3 linked regions of the Notamacropus eugenii genome follow. Each later gene encodes a partner of the first gene's protein in a complex. Links are inferred from orthologs where the notes say so. Each region holds a gene or a part of one and is shown in the gene's direction. Other genes may lie near its edges. The genes, in order: EIF2B2, EIF2B3 and EIF2B1.

Evidence for each region.
Region 2: EIF2B2 (region 1) and EIF2B3 share a complex: the UniProt entries of both Homo sapiens proteins name them as parts of the translation initiation factor 2B (eIF2B) complex. The link is inferred for Notamacropus eugenii from reciprocal best matches to the Homo sapiens genes EIF2B2 and EIF2B3.
Region 3: the proteins of EIF2B2 (region 1) and EIF2B1 are in contact, whole or in part, in a cryo-EM structure (PDB 7F64), measured with the Homo sapiens proteins. The link is inferred for Notamacropus eugenii from reciprocal best matches to the Homo sapiens genes EIF2B2 and EIF2B1. Residues at the interface, in NP_055054.1 of Homo sapiens: Glu107, Ser108, Leu109, His110, Leu112, Leu113, Thr114, Ser115, Asn242, Phe278, Asn280, Glu281, Glu282, Ser334, Tyr337, Arg338; in NP_001405.1 of Homo sapiens: Leu71, Arg74, Phe75, Leu78, Arg96, Leu99, Phe100, Arg103, Lys110, Thr117, Phe118, Lys120, Ser232, Phe235, Leu283, Asp287, Leu288, Val290, Thr292, Ser294, Ala295, Asp298, Glu299, Leu300, Lys302, Leu303.

The regions. Positions count from the first base shown.
Region 1 is NC_092878.1:57,859,269-57,866,782, forward strand, and holds the start of EIF2B2 (translation initiation factor eIF2B subunit beta), read left to right. Parts: upstream 1-4,459; 5' UTR 4,460-4,550; coding exon 4,551-4,713; intron 4,714-4,811; coding exon 4,812-4,932; intron 4,933-5,467; coding exon 5,468-5,616; intron 5,617-6,818; coding exon 6,819-6,982; intron 6,983-7,514. UniProt on the Homo sapiens protein: Acts as a component of the translation initiation factor 2B (eIF2B) complex, which catalyzes the exchange of GDP for GTP on eukaryotic initiation factor 2 (eIF2) gamma subunit.
Region 2 is NC_092873.1:506,431,306-506,438,791, reverse strand, and holds the start of EIF2B3 (translation initiation factor eIF2B subunit gamma), read left to right. Parts: upstream 1-4,447; 5' UTR 4,448-4,497; coding exon 4,498-4,512; intron 4,513-7,486. UniProt on the Homo sapiens protein: Acts as a component of the translation initiation factor 2B (eIF2B) complex, which catalyzes the exchange of GDP for GTP on the eukaryotic initiation factor 2 (eIF2) complex gamma subunit.
Region 3 is NC_092875.1:38,934,184-38,941,537, reverse strand, and holds the start of EIF2B1 (translation initiation factor eIF2B subunit alpha), read left to right. Parts: upstream 1-4,282; coding exon 4,283-4,550; intron 4,551-5,681; coding exon 5,682-5,783; intron 5,784-6,547; coding exon 6,548-6,684; intron 6,685-6,773; coding exon 6,774-6,890; intron 6,891-7,354. Other genes in the region: GTF2H3 (general transcription factor IIH subunit 3), read right to left, coding at 462-541, 4,272-4,284.

The DNA.
Region 1 (7,514 bases):
TAGGCATAGATCAACATCTTATACTGCCTACCAAGAGAAGATCAAATGGGTACATGATTTAGACATAAAAGGTGATAAGCAAATTAGAAGAGCAGGGAATAGTTTACCTATCAGATCTATGGAAAAAGGAAGAATTTATAACCAAATAATGTAGAAAACATTTTGAAATGCAAAATGGGTAGTTCTGATGACATCAAATTAAGAAGTCTTTGCACAAACAAAGCCCAGGCAATCAAGATTAGAAGGAAAGCAGAAAACTGGGAAACAACTTTTACTGCCAGTGTTTCTGATAAAGTCCTCATTTCTCAAATATATAGAGAACTGAGTCAAATTTGTAAGAATACAAATCATTCCCCAACTGATAAATGGTCATAGGATATAAACAGGCAGTTTTCAGATGAAGAAATTAAAGCTATCTATAGTCATATGAAAAAATGCTCTCAATCACTCTTGATTAAAGAAATGCAAACTAAAACAACTCTGAAGTACCACCTCACACCTATCAGATTGGCTAACATGACAGAACAGGAAAATGATCAATGTTGTAGAAGGTGTGGGAGAGTTGGAACACTAATGCATTGTTAGAGGAGCTGTGAGCTGATCCAACCGTTCTGGAGAGCAATTTAGAACTATGTCCAAAGGGCTACAAAATTGTGCATACCCTTTGACCCAGCAATACATTATCACGACTGAATGCCAAAGAGATCATAAAAAAATGGAAAAGGACCCAGATGTACAAAAATGTTTATAGAAACTCTCTTTGTGATGGCCAAGAATTGGAAATTTGAAGGGATGCCCATCCATTGGGGCTGAACAAATTGTGGTTTATGGATGTAATGGAATACTACTGTGCCATAAGAAATGATGAACGGGCAGATTTCAGGGAAAAAAAACATGGAAAGACTTACACGAACTGATCTTGAGTCATGTGCGCAGAGCCAGAACGTGGTGCCTGGTGACAGCAACACTGTGCAATGATCAGCTTGGATAGACTTGGCAAGGTTCTAAGACAATTCCAAAGGACTCATGATGGAAAATGCCAGCCCATCGTGAAAAGAACTAGGAAGCTTCAATGCAGATCAAAGCAGACCATTTTCACTTTTTTTTCCTTTCTCATAGTTTTCCCCTTTTGTTCCTAGTCTTCTTTCACAACATGACTATTGTGGAAATTTGTTTAATATGATTTTACATGTAGAACCTACATCAGATTGCTTGCTGTCTTGGGGAGGAGAGAAAAGAAGGAGGAAAGGAGAAAAAAATGGAACTGAAAATCTTGGGGGAGGAGCCAAGATGGCAGGGTAGAAAGACACACATATGCTAGCTCCAAACCCACAGCCCATAAAATACCTATAAAGAAGAACTCCCAACAAATTCGGGAGCAGCAGAAGCCACACAACAACGGAGCAGAGGAGATTTCTGTTCCAGAGAGACCTGAAAAACTGACCCGAAAGGTCCCTCCCGCACCAGACCCGGAGCAGAGCCCAGCCCTGGCTTCGCCGCAAGGCACCAAGAGGAGCAGATCCGAGCAGGCTTCAGGGACAGAATCTCCAGCAGCCGAGCAGGTCTCTCCACCCACACGAGGCAAAGGTCAGTGAGAGGGGCTTTTCAGTTTGAGGAGAGGGGAGTGGGGTGCCCCTATAACTCAGGCCCCCTCTGGAAGCAGCAGCAGAGGCAGCAGCGGACAAGGGCCCCCAGAGCAGGCAGAAGCTCGGATCCATTGTTGAAGATCTCTGCATAAACCCCCTGAGGGAACTGAGCCCCGTGAGGTGGCCCTGCCCCCACCTGAGCACCTGAACTTAATCTCACACTGAATAGCAACCCCACCCCCGCCAAAGCCCTAAGGCTGGGAAGCAGCATTTGAATCTCAGACCCCAAGTGCTGGCTGGGTAGAGGCTGGGTGGATCTGGAGGCCAGGTGGGTGTGGAGAGGACACTCAGAAGTCAAGTAACCTACTGGGAAAATGCCCAGAAAAGGGAAAAAAAATAAGACCATAGAAGGTTACTTTCTTGGTGAACATATATCTCCTCCCTTCCTTTCTGATGAGGAAGAACAACGCTTACCATCAGGGAAAGACATAGAAATCAAGGCTTCTGTATCCCAAACATCCAGAATAAATATTCAATAGGCTCAGGCCATGGAAGAGCTCAAAAAGGATTTTGAAAATCAAGTTAGAGAGGTGGAGGAAAAACTGGGAAGAGAAATGAGAGAGATGCAAGAAAAGCATGAAAAGCAGGTCAACACCTTGCTAAAGGAGACCCAAAAACATGCTGAAGAAAATAACACCTTGAAAAATAGGCTAACTCAATTGGCAAAAGAGGTTCAAAAAGTCAGTGAGGAGAAGAATGCTTTCAAAAGCAGAATTAGCCAAATGGAAAAGGAGGTTCAAAAGCTCACTGAAGAAAATAGTTCTTTCAAAATTAGAATGGAACAGATGGAGGCCAATGACTTTATGAGAAACCAAGAAATCACAAAACAAAACCAAAAGAATGAAAAAATGGAAGATAATGTGAAATATCTCATTGGAAAAACAACTGACCTGGAAAATAGATCCAGGAGAGACAATTTAAAAATTATGGGCCTACCTGAAAGCCATGATCAAAAAAAGAGCCTAGACATCATCTTTCATGAAATTATCAAGGAAAACTGCCCTGATATTCTAGAACCAGAGGGCAAAATAAGTATTCAAGGAATCCACAGATCACCGCCTGAAAGAGATCCAAAAAGAGAAACTCCTAGGAACATTGTGGCCAATTCCAGAGTTCCCAGGTCAAGGAGAAAATATTGCAAGCAGCTAGAAAGAAACAATTCAAGTATTGTGGAAATGCAATCAGGATAACACAAGATCTAGCAGCTTCTACATTAAGGAAGTCAAAGGAACTAGGACTAAAACCAAGAATCACCTACCCAGCAAAACTGAGTATAATACTTCAGGGGAAAAAATGGTCTTTCAATGAAATTGGGGACTTTCAAGCATTCTTGATGAAAAGACCAGAAAAGAAAAAGAAAATTTGACTTTCAAACACAAGAATGAAGAGAAGCATGAAAAGGTAAAATAGGAAAGAGAAATCATAAGGGACTTACTAAAGTTGAACTGTTTACATTCCTACATGGAAAGACAATATTTGTAACTCTTGAAACTTTTCAGTATCTGGGTAGGTGGGATTACATACACATACACACACGCATGTGCACGCACACACAGAGACAAAGAGCACAGAGTGAATGAAATAGGATGGGATCATATCTTTAAAAAAAATGAAAGCAGTGAGAGAGAAATATATTGGGAGGAGAAAGGGAGAAATGGAATGGGGCAAATTATCTCTCATAAAAGAGGCAAGCAAAAGACTTTTCAGTGGAGGGAAAAAGGGGAGAGGTGAGAGAAAAAAAATGAAGCTTACTCTCATCACATTCCACTAAACAAAGGAATAAAATGCACACTCATTTTGGTATGAAAACCTATCTTACAATACAGGAAAGTGGGGGATAAGGGGATAAGCAGGGTGGGGGGGATGATGTAAGGGAGGGCATGGGGAGGAGGGAGCAATTTGAGGTCGACACTCATGGAGAGGGACAGGATCAAAAGAGAGAATAGAAGCAATGGGGGGCAGGATAGGATGGAGGGAAATATAGTTAGTCTTACACAACACGACTATTATGGAAGTCATTTGCGAAACTACACAGATTTGGCCTATATTGAATTGCCTGCCTTCCAAAGGGAGGGGGTGGGGAGGGAGGGAGGAAGAGAAGTTGGAACTCAAAGTTTTAGGAACAACTGTCGAGTATTGTTCTTGCTACTAGGAAATAAGAAATACAGGTAAAGGGGTATAGAAAGTTATGTGGCCCTACAGGGCAAAAGAGAAGATGGAGACAAGGCCAGAGAGGGAGGATAGAAGAGAGGGCAGATTGGTCATAGGGGCAATTAGAATGCTTGGTGTTTTGGGGTGGGGGAGGAGGGGACAAAAGGGGAGAAAATTCGGAACCCAAAATCTTGTGAAAATGAGTGTTAAAAGTTAAATAAATAAAATTTTAAAAAAAGGAACTGAAAATTTTATAAAAGGGAATGTTGAAAATTTACCTTTCCATGTAACTAGAAAAAATAAAATACCATTGAACAGGGGGAAAAATGTATCCAGGTCCATCGGATAACCACCGCCATCGGATGCCATTTATATTCTGGATATGAGTTGGCTTTGAGATTCTGTGCCACCGCCATGGAGGAGCCAAACTTCATTGAGCTCCACGCAGAGACGAAAGGGGAAAGCCTGGCTTGCCGTTTCCATAGCGACAGGTCATAGAGCCTGGAGGACTTGGGGACAGATATTACCAGGTGAGGGAGCATTCATTCACACTTCCGTTTCTCCTTACGAATGGCAAACGGGCGCAGAGCCTCAAGTCTCTGATTGGTTCCAAGGAGGAGGCAGCACGAGGAGGGGGCGGGGCAGCGCGCGCGAGGACCGGAAGCATACCCTGATCGCCCTGGAAGTAGAAGGCTGCGTCGTTCTCTCGGCCCTCCTGCCGTCGGTTCTCCCGTGGAGCTGTCAGTCCTCGAGATGCCGGGCGCCGCTGACAAAGGGACGGAGCTGTCCGAGCGGATCGAGAGTTTCGTGGAGGCGCTGAAGCGGGGCGGGGGCCAGCGCAGCTCCGAGGAGATGGCCCGGGAGACGGTGGGGCTGCTCCGCCAGATCGTGGCCCACGGGTGCTGGAGCAACGCCGGTGAGGGCGCGGCGGGAGAGGCCGGGGCGGCCTCGGGGGTCGGGGGGAGGACCAGCCCCGCCAGCCCTGCGCTCACGCTGTTCCCTCCCTGGCTGCAGGGGAGCTGATGGCGCTCATCCGGAAGGAGGGCCGGCGGATGACGGCCGCGCAGCCCTCGGAGACCACCGTGGGCAACATGGTTCGGAGGGTGCTCAAGATCATCCGCGAGGAGTACGGCAGGTCAGCGGCCCCGGCGGCCCAGCCCCCTCCCCCGCCCCCCGCCGGTAGTAAGCATTCATTCGGCGCCCACTGTTTGCCAGCCACTGCGCTCGGCCTACAAAGAGAGGCGAAAAGACAGCCCTGCCCCCAGGGAGCTGACGGCCCGGAGGGACAGAATCCACTCTAGCTGGAATCGGCGGGGAAGTGGGGTGCGAGCGGTGGCGGGTGTGTGCAGACAGTGCCAAGGCACGTGTGGCTCCCGTCCCTTGCCAGCCCCTGACTCCGCCACCTGGGGAAGGCGCTGTTTCTCTGGGCCTTAACCTCTGAGGTTCTGTGATGCGGGGACGAGCGGGCTGGACTCGAGGCAGGGTCGGGTTGGAGGCCGAGCTCCCGCCCTGGCCTCTGCATCTTTCGGTCACTAATGCAGGAGATGTGGGCCACTTCCCGTTGTACCATCTTGGCACTTGCTGCCCCTCCCAAGAGCCTTTCTCCGTGCCCGCCTCTCCCAAGAGCCTTTCTCCGTGCCCGCCCCTCTGATGCCGTCTTATCTCCCCAGGCTCCACGGACGCAGCGACGAGAGCGACCAGCAGGAGTCCTTACACAAGCTGCTGACCGCTGGGGGCCTGAATGAGGACTTCAGCCTCCACTCTGCCCAGCTCCAGGCCAACATCATTGAGGTTATCAGCGAGCTGTTGATAGAGCTGGGTGAGTGCGTGGCTGGGCCCGGGCTTCGGGGCTGACTGGCGACATGGACAGAAAGTAGTCTGGTCTGCAGGTCTTCTGACCTCTTCTCCTGGGCTCTTTAGTCGGAAGCAAGGGTTGAAATATGGGGCTCGTTGGGTGCTTAGCAGACCAATAGCGGACTTCGGATCCCTGAGCTGAGCCGGCAGAGAGAGACTCAGTAAATAAATTGAACTCACACCAATACAGGAATAAATGAATAAATAGATTCAGAGGGTGAGACGGTGCTTTGGGTTTGTATATGAGAAAGCGATACTCAAACCATGGTTAGTAGGCCTTTCTTCTTAGAGGAGTTACGTGGTGTAGCGGATGGAGTGCCGAACTGAGAGGCAGAAAGACCTGAGTTTGAATGCAGTCTCAGATATTTACTAGCCCTGTGCCCCTGACCAAATCTGTTAACTTGTCACAGTCAAAGTCAGGAAGCTTTTCATTTATAATTATTCATGTACACACACATATATGTGCATGTGTATATATTATGAAATAAAAACTATAAAATAGTTATAGCAGTACCTCGGAGTTGTGATAAAGATCAAATAAAAGAGTATTTGTAAAGCCTAGCGCACTGTGTGTAAACATTATCTGTGATTATCGCTTTTATTGTGATGTTGCTTCACTAAACATGGTCTCTGGAGATTTGCAAAAGTTCATCAGAGAAATAACAGTGCCCTTTAGCATCTCAGTTTCATGTGCTTTTGTTTTTAGTGTTTCCTCCCCACCTGTGTTTTCCCTTGGGGTCTTTCTGGCATGCAGTGATACTGACTTGTAGCTTTTTTTGGAAAGAGAACCTTTTAATGGAAATTCCACTTTCCCCTTCTTCAGCAATTTTAGGTTTGACAGATTGAAAATTTTCTTGATTAGATAATCATTATCTTCAGAACCAGTTGCCCCAAAAGGAGCTAGTATATATCGCAGTAGCTACAGTGACATGGGCTTGAAATAGGGGTGGGTTTTTGTAGAGGATACCAGAGGGGGCAAGGTGGCTGCACTTGTCTGATTAGGAGTAAAAATTCGGCTTTTGTAACTTTTCATTTCAGACATTTTTGATGTGGTGCCCCAAGGTGTAGTTTCCCTGTAATGTGTGCTGGTGGAATGTTGTGCCAAGGACACAAATCTTTCTTCCCAACTTGGTGTCTAATTTTCCTGTAAATTGATTGTACTTGCAGAAGGGACAACGGAGAACATAGCAATGCAGGCTCTGGAGCACATTCACTCCAATGAGGTGATCATGACCATTGGATACTCCCGGACCGTGGAAGAGTTCCTCAAAGTGGCTGCCCAAAAGCGGAAATTTCATGTTATTGTGGCAGAGTGTGCTCCTTTCTGCCAGGTACTGAAGGAGCTACAGAAAATTGAGAAAGATGGGAGGAGGTAGTAAAGGAAGGGGTGGTTGGATCCATTCTGACTGAATTGGTAAGCAAGGGGTAATGATGACTTGGGGGGAAAGTGTCTGATATAATGAAAAAAATCAAGATAACTCTATATAGTGAGACGTTAGTGGAATTAACTAAAAGCTGATATGTCTTGTACCTGCATCTGTGTTGGGAGAGGGAGTTGCCTCATCAGAAGTGAAATCACATGACTGGTCAAAAATTGTGTGATAGTTGGTTTGAGAAAGCAGTAGTGAATTGCAGAGCTTAGGACATAAGAGTTGAGACGGCACATTGTAGTGGAAAGAGCATTGGCTTTGGAGTCAGGATCTGGATTCAAATACCAGCTCTGTCCCTTACTATCATTGTGACCTTGGGGAAGTCACAATCTCCCTGGCCCTCTTTTTCTTCATATGAAGTACGAGGCAGCTGAAGTTAATGGTCTCAAAGGCTCCTTTTGGCTTTAAGTCAGTGGTGTAGGGATCTAAATAG
Region 2 (7,486 bases), on another chromosome or scaffold:
ACAAGAACTTTTTGGCTGCCACAGAGGTCCCTTGACAGGCAAAGAAAGCCCCCTTCCCAGCAACCTGGGAGAGAATAAGGAATATGAAATAATCATGTAAAGCAGAAATCTATAGAATCATTTCATTAATTGCCTGGAAAAGCCAATGAGTTTCACATTAATGCTAGCAGAGGTCTGGGACAGAGGCCAAGCTCAGCCCAGATCTAATCTGCCGGGCCAGCCAGGTGTGGAAGTAGATAGGGACTCTTTGGGGGCCCTTGACACCACAGCTTTGGGGGCCTTTCCAAGAGCCTGTAATGTTGAAAATAAAACAAAGCTACAGCACCATGGGGAAAATTCCCAAATGTAAAACTGGGCTCCTCATTTTACTATTTCATAAACACATATTATTTCATAGACAATGAGGCATCATGGAGATTGCTAGAGAGTTACCCTTAAGTCTGGCCTCCCTGGAACTGAGAGTTTAATTTCTTTTGGCTTCCCTTTCTCCTTGCTGTTCTCTTCTGTGGATTTTTTCTTTCTTTGACTTTTTTTAGTCAACTCTTTTCCCCTGCCCAAGTCTTCCTCCTCTCCTACCAGAAAAAGCCAACAAAAAACAAATCATATCAGACATTTAAGGTTTGTTGGGAAGGAAGATTGCTATCAAGTTTCATTATAAAGCACTACCGAAATGTGAGGTAGCATTCTTATTTTCCCATCACATATGACTCAAGATTAAGAAATGAGTCCATATGATGCAAAACGCCATCCACATCCAGAGAAACAACTATGGAATCCGAATGCAGAATGAAGCAGACTATTTTCTCTTTTGTTATGTTTTGTTTTGTTTTCTCTCATTCATTTTAAGTCTTCTATGCAACATGACTAATGTGAAAATGCGTTTAATAGGAATGTATGTGTGGAGTCCATATAAGATTGCATGCCATCTTGGGGAGCGAGGAGGAGAAAATTTGGCACTTATGGGAGTGATTGTTGAAAACTGAAGACATTAATAAATTTGGAGAAAAAAAGAAATGAGTCCAAGGGCTTGTGGGAAAAACTGAAGCCTCAATGTTTTATACCATGAACAATTTCTTTAAGAAGAAAATCCAGGTATTTATATCAATATACAAATATATCAGCACTTAATTGTAGTCTTCTGGGGGAGCAGGGGGAAGGAATGGGAAAAAAGAACAAAGTAAAAGGGACATAACAGAGAATAAGGAAGCAAAGAAAAGATGGATAGCTCTCAACGCAACGTGTAGTATTTATTATACAGGCTTTCTTGAAATGGAAATTTATTGCTATATGTTTTGAATTCTTTTTTACATTCTGCTGTGCATATGATATCCTCTCTTTTTCTTATTTTGTAATTAAGTTTCAGTAATAAAAATATAATTGGAAAATATTTAATACAGTAAATGAAAATGTAATAGAAAAAAAAGAAGAAAATCTAGGGCACTAGACATGGAGAATTGCTAAATAACCACAAAAAATGAAATTGACTATATCTTAACAAAAAGGAAAAGACTAGTTACCAATATGGAAACATTCTAAAATCAACTATGTGTGTGCAACCAAACTAGCCATTTGTTAGAGCCAAGTTCAGAATTGAGAATAAAATTGAGAAGATATAGTGTGTTGCAATACAGTTCCGACCTGACCTATTTGAATAAGCATATTGACAATGAAAAATGAGATTGGAATAAAGGAACAGAAATTGGCATAGATCATCAATGTTTCCTAAGGAAGTGTAATTGATTTATGCAAATCGATCACCACGATGAAGTGGCTCAATGATTTGAGAAACTGCTGCAGCAAGTAAACATTTTCTCCATCTCATCAAGAGGGAGCAGTTTGGTGGCAAAGTGGATAGAGCATTAACCCTGGAATCAAGAAGACCTGAGTTCAAATCTGGCCTCAGGCACTAGAATCTAGGCAAGTCACTTAACCCCGTTTGCCTCAGTTTCCTCATCTATAAAATGAGCTGGAGAAGCAAATGGCAAAGCACTCCAGGATCTTTGCCAAGAAAACCTCAAATGGGATCAGGAAAAATCAGACACGACTGAAAAAAACAACTGAACTATATATATCTATCAAGAAAATCCAGCCAACAGGGAAAAGACAGGTTAGAATATAAACTCATTGGAAAATCTTACAGAGGAGGACAGTAGAAGATTATGAATCATATCACCTAACAAAACAGAAGAAATGGAGGGAAAATGAGTCTCTAGAAAGCTTAGGGAGTGACCCAGTTCCTTAAGAACATTTGAAAAGTAGAAAAGATCTGTCTTTAACAAACTGTTCTCTTCATCAGGAATTGTGGAACCACCACATTTGGACTCTAACTTAGTCCTTGGTGTGCTACATACATAAAGAACGAGGAAGAGCATTACCACATCTGTTGTCTAGAGAGAAAGAAGAAAAGGACTGACAGGTACAAAGACATTTATACTGGCTCCTTGTGGTGGCCAAGAACTGAAAACGCAGGGGATGCCCATCAATTAGGGAATGGATGAAAAAGTTATGGTATATGAATGTGATAGAATATTATTTTGCCATGAGAAATAGTAAAGGCGAGGGTTTCAGAGAAACCTGGAATGATTTGTATAAATGGAGCTAGAGGGAAGGGGGCAGAACTAGAAGCGATACAGTAACAACATGGTAAAGAAAAGTATCTTGGGAAGACTTCAGGACTCTGAGCAGCTCCAGGAGACTGATGGCAAAGTCTTCTTCCCAGCATAGTCCTGACAGAGGTGATGGATTGTGGGGTGGGTGGAATGAGGCACACACACAGCTCGGGACAGGGCCATTCCACCAGCCCAATAAAGGCAGAATCCGGAGGGATCCTGGGAGCTTTGTACACACAGAGTGGACAAGAGGGGCTGGACAAGATGAGACCAAGGCTCTGCACTGGCCAGAGAGAACAGTGAGCAGGTAGGGAGGGGGCTGGACTGCCAGCTGCTAAGAAACCTTAGCCTAGTGAGACGCAGGCAGGCATTTAGGGGGTCCCCTGGTGGGAGCATGTGAGGAGACGCAAGCCGGGCTGCTGGAAACACACAAGGGTCCACTTGGCTGTCGGGGTGAATGTGTTGCCACCTGGTGGACAAATCGGTCAGTTGTTGGTAAAGTGATGCCAGGCATTTCTGAAGCCTTGCAAACAGGACACAACTGCTCACCCGAGGGCAGTGGCCCGATGGGTACCTGGGACAGCCGCCGAGCGCCCAGCAGGGGGTCACACGTCCTGACAAACAGCTTACTCTCGCTGTGTTGCTTTCGTGGAGTGTGGCTTGTTACTTGGGCCGGCTCTGGAAGCTAGGGGTGCGCGCGAGATGGAGCAAGGGGAGAGGATCCCCCTCGGTACCTGGCCCAGAGTGGGGGGTCAGCGAAGGCTGGAGGGGTGGGCCGGCTTGGCGCTGCTGCCCCGGGACTCAGAGGTTTCCCACAGCCGCAGTCTGGGGCCGGTCACCCCGAAAGCGGGGCGATTGCGCGGCTTGGGAGGGGCCAGGACCGGCCGGAGAAGGGGACAACCGAGCCCCGGCCTGGGAAGCCGGGAAGTTCCCCGGCACTGCCGCTGCTGTCCCCGGGCCGGCCCGGCTCGCCTTCTCGGCTGCTCGGCAGGTGGTGAGCTCGCTGTCGCCGCAGGGTGCCCTCGGCGGCTCTGCACCCGGCTCCGAGGATCCGCTCCCCCCGCCCTCTCCCGCCTCCCTCTCTGCCCTCTCCTCCTCTAGCCGCAGGGATTCAGGATCCTCTGTTCGGCGCTCGCTTATTTTGGGCTGGTCCTCTCTCCTGGCCCCGCCCCTGGCTGATCGATGCGGAGTAGGCTCTCTGCGCAAGCGCAGTAGCCTCGTGGTCGCCATTGGGCTGTCAGTTTGGCGTGTGACTGGAGGCTGAAGGAGAGGTGAAGCTGGGGGTGGCCTGGGTGCTGTCTGTGTGTGAGGGCTCAGAGAGCCCGGGAGAGGGCACGATCGGAGGGCCGGGGAGCCCCGGGTCCTGGCTGGGGGGAGGGTCAGTCTGGGGGGCACCAGGGTCTCTAGGGGAGGGTCAGTCCGTGCAGCAGCCCTGGGGTCCCTGACTGGGGGGAGGGTCAGTCTGGGGGGGGGGCACCAGGGTCTCTAGGGGAGGGTCAGTCCGTGCAGCAGCCCTGGGGTCCCTGACTGGGGGGAGGGTCAGTCTGGGGGGGGGCACCAGGGTCTCTAGGGGAGGGTCAGTCCGTGTGGCAGCCCCGGGATCCCTGACTGGGGGGAGGGTCAGTCTGGGGGGGGCACCACGGTCTCTAGGGGAGGGTCAGTCCGTGCAGCAGCCCTGGGGTCCCTGACTGGGGGGAGGGTCAGTCTGGGGGGCACCAGGGTCTCTGGCCTGGGGGGAGGGTCAGTCCGTGCAGCAGCCCTGGGGTCCCTGAATGGGTCCATGGATGTATAATCTGTGAAGTGAGTAGGCTTGGTGGTCCCTGGCCAGGTCGCCATCTGCCAGGCTTGTGGCAGCGCCGCCTGGGGTCTTCCTCTGCCCCACCTTCCAATGTCCAGTGTCCAGGTGAGTCTGTGGCCTCTGAAGCCCATGGCCGGAGTTGGTGGAGCTCATCTGAGCTCAGTAGCACCAAGTCTTGCAGTGGTGCAGCAACTGAGAGAGGTGGAGCACTTGGATGGGCAGCTCTGCCAGCCTACCCCAGAAACTTCCCCTTTGGGCAGTGTTGTATTTGCAGAGGAGCCATTGGCTGCCCAAGGCTCAGGCTGGCATGGTGGTACCCCGATCTTTGTGGGGAAATCAGGAAAAGTGGTGTTTTAGCTAGGCTTTGAAGGAAGCCAGGAGGCAGGAGGCAGAGATGAGGACTGCCTTCCAGGCATGGAGGATGCCAGGGAAAATGCAGAGGTTTGGGAGATGGAGCATCTTGTGGCAGAAACAACCAGGAGGCTAGTGCAGCTCCATGGGAGGGGAGGGGGTGGCGATGGGGCAGGTCATGAAGGTCTTTAAACGCCAAACAGGATATTATTTTTTGATCTTGGAGGTGAACTTCTGAAACCACTGGAGTTTATTGAGGGTGAGTGTGTTTCTGTGACATAGTCAGACTTGTGCTTTAGGAAGTTCACCCAGGTACCTGAGTAGAGGATGAACTGCCTTGGGGAATGTGGCAGGAAGACCCACCTGCAAGCTGTTGCAGCAATAGTCTAGGCATAAGAGAAGGAGAAAGCCTGTACCAGGTGGGGGTCAAGGTGAGGTGGGGCTGTGTGTGAAAGCATGGGAGGGGAGGAAGGAGTACATGTTGTTCAGAGACAGTAAGAAGGGAGGATAGATAGGCCTTGGTAACTAATTGGATGTGGCTCCTCAGTTGAGGACCTGGGTGACTGGAAAAATGGTGATGCCCTCGACTGTAAGGGGAAACTCAGAAAGAAGGAGGGATTTTGGGGAAAAATATAATGAGTTCAGTTTTGGTCATGTTGTGTTTAAGATGTTTATGGGACCTTTGTAGTTGGAGATATCCAATAGGCAGTCAAAGATGTGAGTCTGTAGTTCAGCCAGGAGGTTAGGTTTGATTAAGTAGATCTGAAAATCATTTGCATAGATGATACTTGAATTCATAAGGAGATGATGAGATCACTAAATAAAACAGTATAGAAGGAAAAGAGAAGAGGATCCCAGGACAAAGCCCTAAGAGATAGCCACTGTGAGACATCTCCACTTGAGTGAAGAACTAGCGAAGGAGACTGAGGGCTGGTCAGATAGGTAGGAGGAGAACCAGCAGAAAATGGTGGCCTGAAAACCCAGAGAAAGAGATTATCAAGGAGAAGAGGGTGAAGGACAGTGTCAGATGCTGGAGACAGGGAAAGAAGAATGAAGACTGAGAAAAGGCCATGGGGGAGGGGCAGAGCCAAGATGGTAGAGTTGGACATTAAGGGATTGGACAACTAGTTGGACAACTTTGCTGGCCGCCTGGGAACCTTATCATCATTAGGGCAGTTAGGAGGAGTCTACATAGAGTGAGGTTAGGGTTTTTAGTGGATTATGTTGGATCATCTCCCAAAAAAGGGGGGGGGGTGAGAAAAAGGGTTGCCCTGGGAGAAAGGAAAAGGGAAAAGTAGAGTGGGGAAAATTTTCTCACATAAAAGAGGCTTGGAAGAAACCTCACTTTCATCAGAACTGGTTCAAAGAGGGAAGAATATGTGTACATGCTCAGTTGTGTATAGAAATCTATCTCACCTAAAGGGGAAATAAGAGAAGGGGATAAGAGATATGGGAGAAGGGGAATGATAAAAGGGAGGTTGGGTTAAGAGAGGCAGTCAGAAGCAAAACAGACTTTTGAGAAGGGACAGGATAAAAAGATAGAGAAGGATAAATGGAAGAAAATAACATGGAGGGAAATACACAGTAATCATAATTGGGAATGTGAATGGGATGAGCTAACCCATAATGGAATCAGATAACAGAATTGGTTAGAAACCAGAATTCAGCAATATGTTATGTTCAAGAGACACATTTAAAACACACATGAAAGACATACAGAATTAAAGAAATAGGGCTGGAGCAGAATCTAATACACTTCAGCTGAAGTGAAAAAAGGTAAGGGTAGCTATGATGGTCTCAGACAAAGCGAAGCAAAAGTAGACCTACTTAAAAGAGAGGACCAGAGAAACTAGAGTTTTCTGAAAGGTACCATCGACAATGAAGTAACATAAAAAATTTTTACACCAAGTTTCTCCAATAAAGGCCTCATTTTTCAAGTATATGAAGAACTGAGCCATATGTATAAAAATAAGAGCCATTTCCCAATTGATAAATTGTCAAAGGATATGAGCAGGCAGTTTTCAGAAGAAGAAATCAAAGCACTCTATAATCATGTGAAAAGATAGTTCAAATCTCTATTAATTAGAGAAAGGCAAATTAAACAACTCTTAAGTACCACCTCACACCTATCAAAAATGACAAAGGCATGCTCTTTGATCCAGCAGTATCACTACTAGGTCTGTATCCCAGAGAGATCAGAGAAAAAGGAAAAGGACCCATATGTACAAAAATATTTATAGCAGCTCTTTTTGTGGTGGCAAAAGATTGAATATCGAGGACTGGCCCTCCAGTTGGGGAATGTCTGAACATATTGTATCATGATTGTGATGGAGTACTATAAGAAATGACAAGGAGGGAGGTGATTTCAGAAAAACATAGTAAGACCACTATGAAATAATGCAAAGTGAAGTGAGCAAAACCAGGAGAAATTGTGCACAGTACCAGCAGTGTTTATAAACACACACACACACACACACGTGTATATACACATATATATGTATATACACACATATATACACATACACACACACAAACTTGGCTACTCTAATCAATATAGTGTTCCAAGACAATTCCAAAGGATTCATGATGAAAAAATTCATCATGAAAAAAATCCTCTCTCCAGAGAAAGAATGATGAACTCTGAATACAAATTGAAGTATAATTTCCTTTTTTTTGCTTTGTTTTATGATATAGCTAATATGAAAGTATGTTTTGCATGATATTAATT
Region 3 (7,354 bases), on another chromosome or scaffold:
AATCTATACTTAAATTTAACAACATCTGTAATTAAATAACCAAGGAACATAAGTTTTTGCAGGAATGCTCAAGTAAAAATATTTGAAAATTTCTGAAAATTGTATTTTTCTTCTTTCTCTTACATGTGACTATTTCTACCCATTACACTGAATAAACACTAGATTCCTGCAAAGCGTACAGCACCACACCTGGAAAACAAATATAACGTATCTTGAGTGTTCATAGTTTAAGTTACTGCTATGTGTGCACTAAATGCTTGCTTACTGATTTTAAATATCATAACATTCACAATTTAAATTCTGCATATCTTTTTCCACAAACAAATTCAAAAGAGTATATTGAGTTAAATGACATTTCAAGAGTCAAAATTCCTTATCTTAATTTCAAAATGGCAATTCAGATATTCAATTAAATTAGTATTAAGATTTTAAAAAGTAATCCTCAGCATAATGAACTTTACCTGAGATTCTTTCAAAGCTTGTTTTCCCCACCAAATTGGGTTTGTATCAACTATGATAACTAGAAGGTTTAATTCATCATCTGAAATCACAAGAAACATGAGAAAGATCAAAAAACAGTTAACATTTCCTATTTCACCAGTTTAATCCACAGCTCAATTACAACCAACCTGCTTATAAATATCTATTGTTCTACAGAAATGCAGGTTAAGAGGGTCTACACAGGGGAGAGGGCCAAGATCTTCTAAAAACCAGGATGAGGTCAGCCTATAGAAAACGCCATCTCTTCTCTCCTTGTACACCCAACGGTCCAACGCACTTGATGCCTGGAATTGTTTTTGTCATGAAGGCTAAAAGCTAGGAAAACTTATTTACCCTAAAGTGTTAACAACTTACTGGGTTATCCAAGTCACCTTTAGAGTTTAAGAGGAGAGGGCAATGCTTTGGGGCATCTCAAAAGCAAATCAGTTAAGGTGGAAATCCTGGTATAAGTGAGAAAAGAGATTTAGGGAGTAGAACTGGCTATCAGCTAGCCTTGATAAGGAGTCAATCAAAGGCCTTAAGCTCAAACCACCTACACCCACCCACACCCACACCCTCACCTACACCCACACACACACCCCCCCACCTCCCCCACACACATCCTTACATATATTTTGTATCTACTGGTACTGGTGCCAAGGCACCAGATATGCTTAATAAATGTTCACCAAATGAAGAATCAATGCAGAGACTTACACAAACCTTTGCTGTTCTCTGCGTATGATGTCACATCCCCTGCCTCTGGGCTTCTGTGTGCCTCCTTCCTTCTTACCTATACCACAAAAAATCCCTCACTTCCTCCAGAAAGTCCTTTCCTGACCCCTTAAGTGTCAGTGTTCTTGCCCCACTGAAATGGTTTTCTATTTATTCTATATTCTGGTTACAGCTTTTCCTCAGGATGCAGGGTTAAAAAGCAAAGGATTCCCATGTTCTACTATAAAAAGTGATTAGGCTGATCACTCAGGATATGAAAGGGGAATTTCAGACAGTTTTTTCCTCACAGAAATAAAAAAATGTCAGAACCGGAAGGGGTCTTGGTGACCATCTGAGGCAGTGTGGTACAACATACGGAGAATTACTAGAAAAACCTGCTTTTGACTCCTGGCTCTGGCACTTAGTCGTGGTGGGAGGGGGGACTCCCACTTTTTAACCCCTCAGGGTCTCTAACTCATCTTCTGTAAAATAAAGCTGTTGTACATAACTCAACAAGTATTCAGCAGACTCCTAAATGCCAGGTATCTGTGCAAGGCACTGGGGAGACAAGGGCAAAAGGCAATGATTGCTACTCTCAAGTGCTTACAATCTACTGGGAGGAAGCAACACAGATGGAGAAATCAGAGAAGGAAGAAATCTAAAATAATTTTTTAGGGGGAGGCAAGGCAAGGGTACTAACAACTAGGGAGATCAGGAAAGACCTCCAAGTAATGGTGGCGTCCAGTTTGGCCCATGAAGTAAGTTAGGGATTCTACAAGGTAGAAGTTAGGAGGAAAAGCATTCAGCATCATGTAGAGGCAGGAGGTGGAAGGAGGAAAGTAGGGAACAAGAAGGTAATACAGCTGGTAACAATGCAGAATGTCTAAGAGAGAGTAACATTCCATGACTTGGTAAAGATAGGCTGGAGCCAGATGGTGAAGGGGTTTAAGGGCTAGACGACTAAATGATCTCCAAAGTCTCCTACAGATCCCTGCACCTAATCCAAGCATTTCATTTTACAGATGGGGAAACTGAGGACGAGAGGGAAAAAGGGCACTCTTGCTATCCTCAAAGACTCCTAGAGCTCTGTACACTCTCACTGGCCACCAAACACTCTAACTGACCTATGTTACCTTATTCTTTAACATTTACTTTTAAAATTTTCATCCACATTTTTATTTTAATCTAAATTCTCCCTCCCTCCAGCCTTTCCCCCATCCACTGAGAAGGCAAGCAACATAATACTCATTATACATGTGAAGTCATGCAAAACATTACATGTCACATTCTTCACAGCAGAACGTAAATTTCTTGAGGGCAAGGACTACTGATATTTCTTTTAAATTAAAAAACGTCTTTCCAATTCTAATTTTTAACATTTAAAAAAAATTTTGAGTTCCAAATTCTCTCTCCTTCTTTCCCCTCCCCACTCCTTGAGACAACAAGCAATTTGATATGGGTTATACATGGGCAGAGAAACTATTGGCCTGTGAATCACTGGTACCCAGCACAGTGTATTTCACATAGTAACCAACGTGGTGTAACGGAGGGAGTGCTGGGCTAGGAGCCAAGAAGGACTGAGTTTGAATCCTGCTTCTAACGCTTCCCTTATATGACCATAAGTAAGTCACTTTAACAGAGGAATGATGCCCAAAGAAGCTGCCTCATGGGGCTCTGCAAGCCTGAAAGTAGCTGTGACTTGAATGATTTTGTAAAATCCCAGAGTTGGAAAGGGCTGACTGTGGCTTCTGGGGTGCTTCCCAAACTGGGGTGCTCAGTGCTCCAGATATCCCCTGGGAGCATCACTCCAGCAGACCTGAACACCAGGGGCCCCTCAGCTGTCCTCCATCTAATACCAGCAGTCGCCTCAATTCAATGCACAATTGCCTAGATCTTTCAAAAGAAACAAGTACCAACTGTGCTGAGACCCTCAGTTCTTTCTCCTATGAGCTGCAGACTAGCCAAGCACTGCCTCCCCTCACCCAGCGATACATAAAAGCTACAGAGCTGGCAGGGAGCCTAGAGGTTTAGTCCAATCCCTCGCTCTTCACTTTATCAATGAAGAAATTGAAACCCAGGGAGTGGATCTTGCCCATCTGAAGTGACTTGCCCAAGGTCACCCAGTTATAGTAAGTTTCAGAGGTCGGATTTGAACCCACGTCCTGTGACTCCAGAACTGAGACAAATGGCAGTAAGTGACCTGCCCAGAGTCACACAGCTAGTAAGTATCTGAAGAGGTATTTAAACTGAGGTCTTCCTGGCTACAACTGTAACACTATTGTTCTCTTTGTTTCTTTTTATCCCTAATGCTTGGCAACATTGTAAACGTTTGATAAGTGCTCCTTCATTCATTCATCATCCTGCAGCCCATGCAGGAAAGGACCTTAGAAGTCCTCATTCCAACTCATAGAGTTAATGAGCATTTATTAAACTGCCGTGGGCCACAGCCCGTGCACAGCACTGGGGATACCCCTACCCCCCCCAAAAAAAGGCAAAACAAAAAACCAGACAGCCCCCAAACAGAACACATGGGGCGAGGGTGGGGGCGGGGCATCACCAGCCTCCTCAAAGAAGACGAGGTCGCTCAGAGAGGTCACAGGACCGGAGGGACCCTCGGACACCATCTAGTCCGGCGGGTGCTTCGGGTCAAAGGTCCTTGACCTTGCTTGACCTCAATTTAATTGGGTTTCTTTGGGCATTTTATGCATTTACAACTTGACTCTGGAAGGGGGTTCCTAGGCTTCCTCAGGCTGGCTGGCCCATCGGAGCCTCGGGTCTAGAGGAGGAAACTGAGGCTCCGAGAGGGGAAGGGTCTGGGAAGCGTCGGATGGAGGGGTTGAATCTAGGCCGGGGCTCTCTCCCTCACCTTACAGGGGAGGAAACTGAGGCCCAGGAGGGGGACGAAAGGCCTGGCCCGAGCTTCCCTAGGTAGCTAAGCACCAAGAGGCGGGATTTGCACCTAAGTCTCGACCCTTCCCCTCCACAGCTCTGGGCCCCTCCAGGCGCTCTCCCCGCCGCAGCCCCCGGTCCGCTCCGCCGGCTCCGGGGCTTCCCTGTTTGCCCCAGGGCGCGCTCACCTTCGGAGATCATGGCGAACCTCCTGCGCTTCAGCGGAGAGCCGCGGGAGCCCCGCGGCCACCGTACTGTCCTGGCCTTCTGCGCAGGCGCGAGCTGTCGAAGGAAGTTTGGCCTCTACCGGCCGCCGTACACGCGGGCTGCTGGGAAATTGGGCCCGGCCCCGCCGTGGGCGGGCCGTGCGTGCCTCGGCCTGGACTATCAGTCACCGGGCCGGTCGCCCGGGATAGCTGTGGGGAAAGGCGGACGGCCTCGTGGCCGCGGCGCCATGGACGACTCGGGTAATGCGGGGCGGGCTCGCGGGACTCGGGGCGAAGGGGGCTGGAACCCGGGACTCCCCAGAGCGAAGGAGGGTGGGCTAGACCTGGAGGCCGGAAGACCTGGGTGTGAATCCCGCCCCGGACCTTTCCCCATTCGTAGAAAGGAGAGCACGCTGGATTTGGGCCTCAGTTTCCCCTTTTGTAGGATGAAGAGGTTGGACCGGCGGGGTTTAAGCTCTAAATCTGTGGAGGATCTGGGTCCAACCCCGGCCTCCCTGGGCCTCAGTTTACTCATCTGTAAAAGGGGTGGCCCAGGAAGTCCCTTCCATCTGCTGTATGTGCGCCTACACGCATGTACACGTGTGTATATGTACACGTGCATCCATGTGGGCGTGTGTCTGTGTACATAAGCGTGTGTATACAGATGTCCACGCATGCGTGCACATTCCGTCCCTGCACCTTCGCCGAGAGACCTTTCCAGTTCCCTCTGCCCATCACCCCAGTCTGCCCCCGCTGCGCCTTGTTTGTGCGCCACTGTTTGCACGCCGGACCGGGAGCTCCCGGGCTCCCTTTGGGCTCCTTCGCACTTAGGAGGCGCCTCTGAGTTGGGCTCTGCGTGCCGGGCACCGCCCTGGGCGCTAGCTGGCACCAGGAGTACCTTCGCAGGCACATCCAGAATAGGCACAGGGTCATTTCGGAGAGCAGGGAGGCTTCGTAATTCAGGAGTGATGACTCCGAGAGATTGGGAAAGGCTGCTGGATTGGGGGCCGAAGCCCCTCCGCCAAATGGGACCTCCCGACTGTCGGGCACTTTGCTTTTTCTGGGTCTCCGTTTCCTTAAGTGTGAGATAAAGTATTGCCCTCAGGGTACGAGCCTGTGGTGGCTTCCCCCGGGCACTCTAGGAATGCCTGGTATTACAGTAAGAGCGCTGGATCTGGAGTCACCCATCTGAATTCCTATACTCTTCTCCTCCGAAGTTTCTCTTCATTTTGACCTCCATCTGTAAAATGAGGGGTTTGTATTTCCTTACCTCTAACCCTGGGACTCACCCTAGGGGCTGAGGGTCCTCAGGCATCACAGGTGATGCTGTAGGTGATACAGCCTGCCGAATGAAACTTGACGTATTTCTTCCCATGGTCCCCTCCTTCCCAGATTTGATTGAGTACTTTAATTCCCAAATGAAAGAAGATCCTGATGTGGCTTCTGCTGTGGCCGCCATCCGCACCTTACTTGAGTTCTTAAAGAGAGACCAAGGTAAGACGATCTCAGTCAGCAGTTCCCCAAATTCCTTTCTCCAGGAAAAAAATGTTGGAAAGCCTTATGTGTCTGTGAGTTTGCATAGCCACATGCCCCTTCACTCTTGACTGTTCTCAATTTAATTTTGACCCAATTCCCAGTTATAATCAACTAACATTCAATAATTAAATACCTACTATTCACGGAGCATTATGCCAGGCTCTTAATAAGAAAGGAGACCTTGACTTTGTACTTATTTTCTTAGATAAAATGCATAACCTTTTCCATAGAATAGTGCTTTGAGAGCTCATTTGCAGAATAGAGATATACTGTAAATTTATTTGAGCATTTTCTGTTCCAAAACGTATTTAGCTCAAATCATTGTACTAGCAGAACAGATTTTTATTCTCAGATAAAGAAATTGGGTTCATGTACTTAGTAACCCCTTCAGCTTAATTCTCTGAGATGTGCCAATGACATAGACTTGACTGATTTCATAGAATCTCAGGTTACTTTTGCAAGGTGAGAGTAGCAGAATATTGTGGAAAGAACATTTGGAATGTCACTTCTTCTCAGGCTGTCAGCTTTCTCTTTCGTATAGTAAGAGATTAGATGCCTTCTAAGATTCCTTCCAACCCTAAATCCTAAAATACGGAGGAAGCTGTCGACTAAGAAATCCCTCTCTATTTCAGAGATCTTTGTTTGTAACATAATTGTCCTGTAAGATAAAAGGATGAATCAGTTTCCAAACGCAAGTTTTATTGTACTATTGAACTTTGCAGGAGGAACAATTCAGGGTTTGAGAGCAAATCTCACAAATGCCATTAAAATCCTGTGCAGCGTAGATTCTTCTGTGGCAGTCTCCTCGGGTGGAGAGCTCTTCCTTCGGTTCATCAGTCTCACCTCCCTGGAGTATTCAGTGAGTTCATGTCCTGTCCAGACTGCTTTTGTGCTTCTTTACGTGGCTCTGGACAGCCTCTACCTTGATTTCTCTTTCACTTTTTCTAGGATTACTTAAAGTGTAAAACAATCATGATTGAGCGAGGAGAGCTCTTTCTCAGGAGGATCTCACTTTCCAGAAGTAAAATTGCCGACCTGTGCCATACTTTCATTAAAGATGGAGCTGTAAGTGGAATCATGAGTTATCAGTGCTATGTGGGAGAAAATGTTGTAACGACTTATGTAATGAGGTATTGGGAAGGGCTTTGTGGCTCTGGGACTCAGGAGTAACAATTTCAGTTGGTGTTTTACTAGGATAATCAAACTTTGATGGTGCTTCCCTTAACCAGTATACATCCATGTCATCATATGTGCACATACCAGTTGTCTAATTACCTTCTGTCTCTTAAATACCTCCCTCTGAGTTTATCCCCTTTGAAGTACATTAGTAATTACTGAAACAATTCAAGGGCCATGGGTCGACTTGTACATCATCTCACCTGACCAGAAACGAGATCATTGACTTCCTCACCATCTCTCTGTTTCATCGAACACACACAGTCATGTTAAGTTATATAAGCCTTTCATTTATTAAATTCATTTTAGCATAGTTCATACATATCTGTATGTTCCTCTGCTTTGGTTTAATG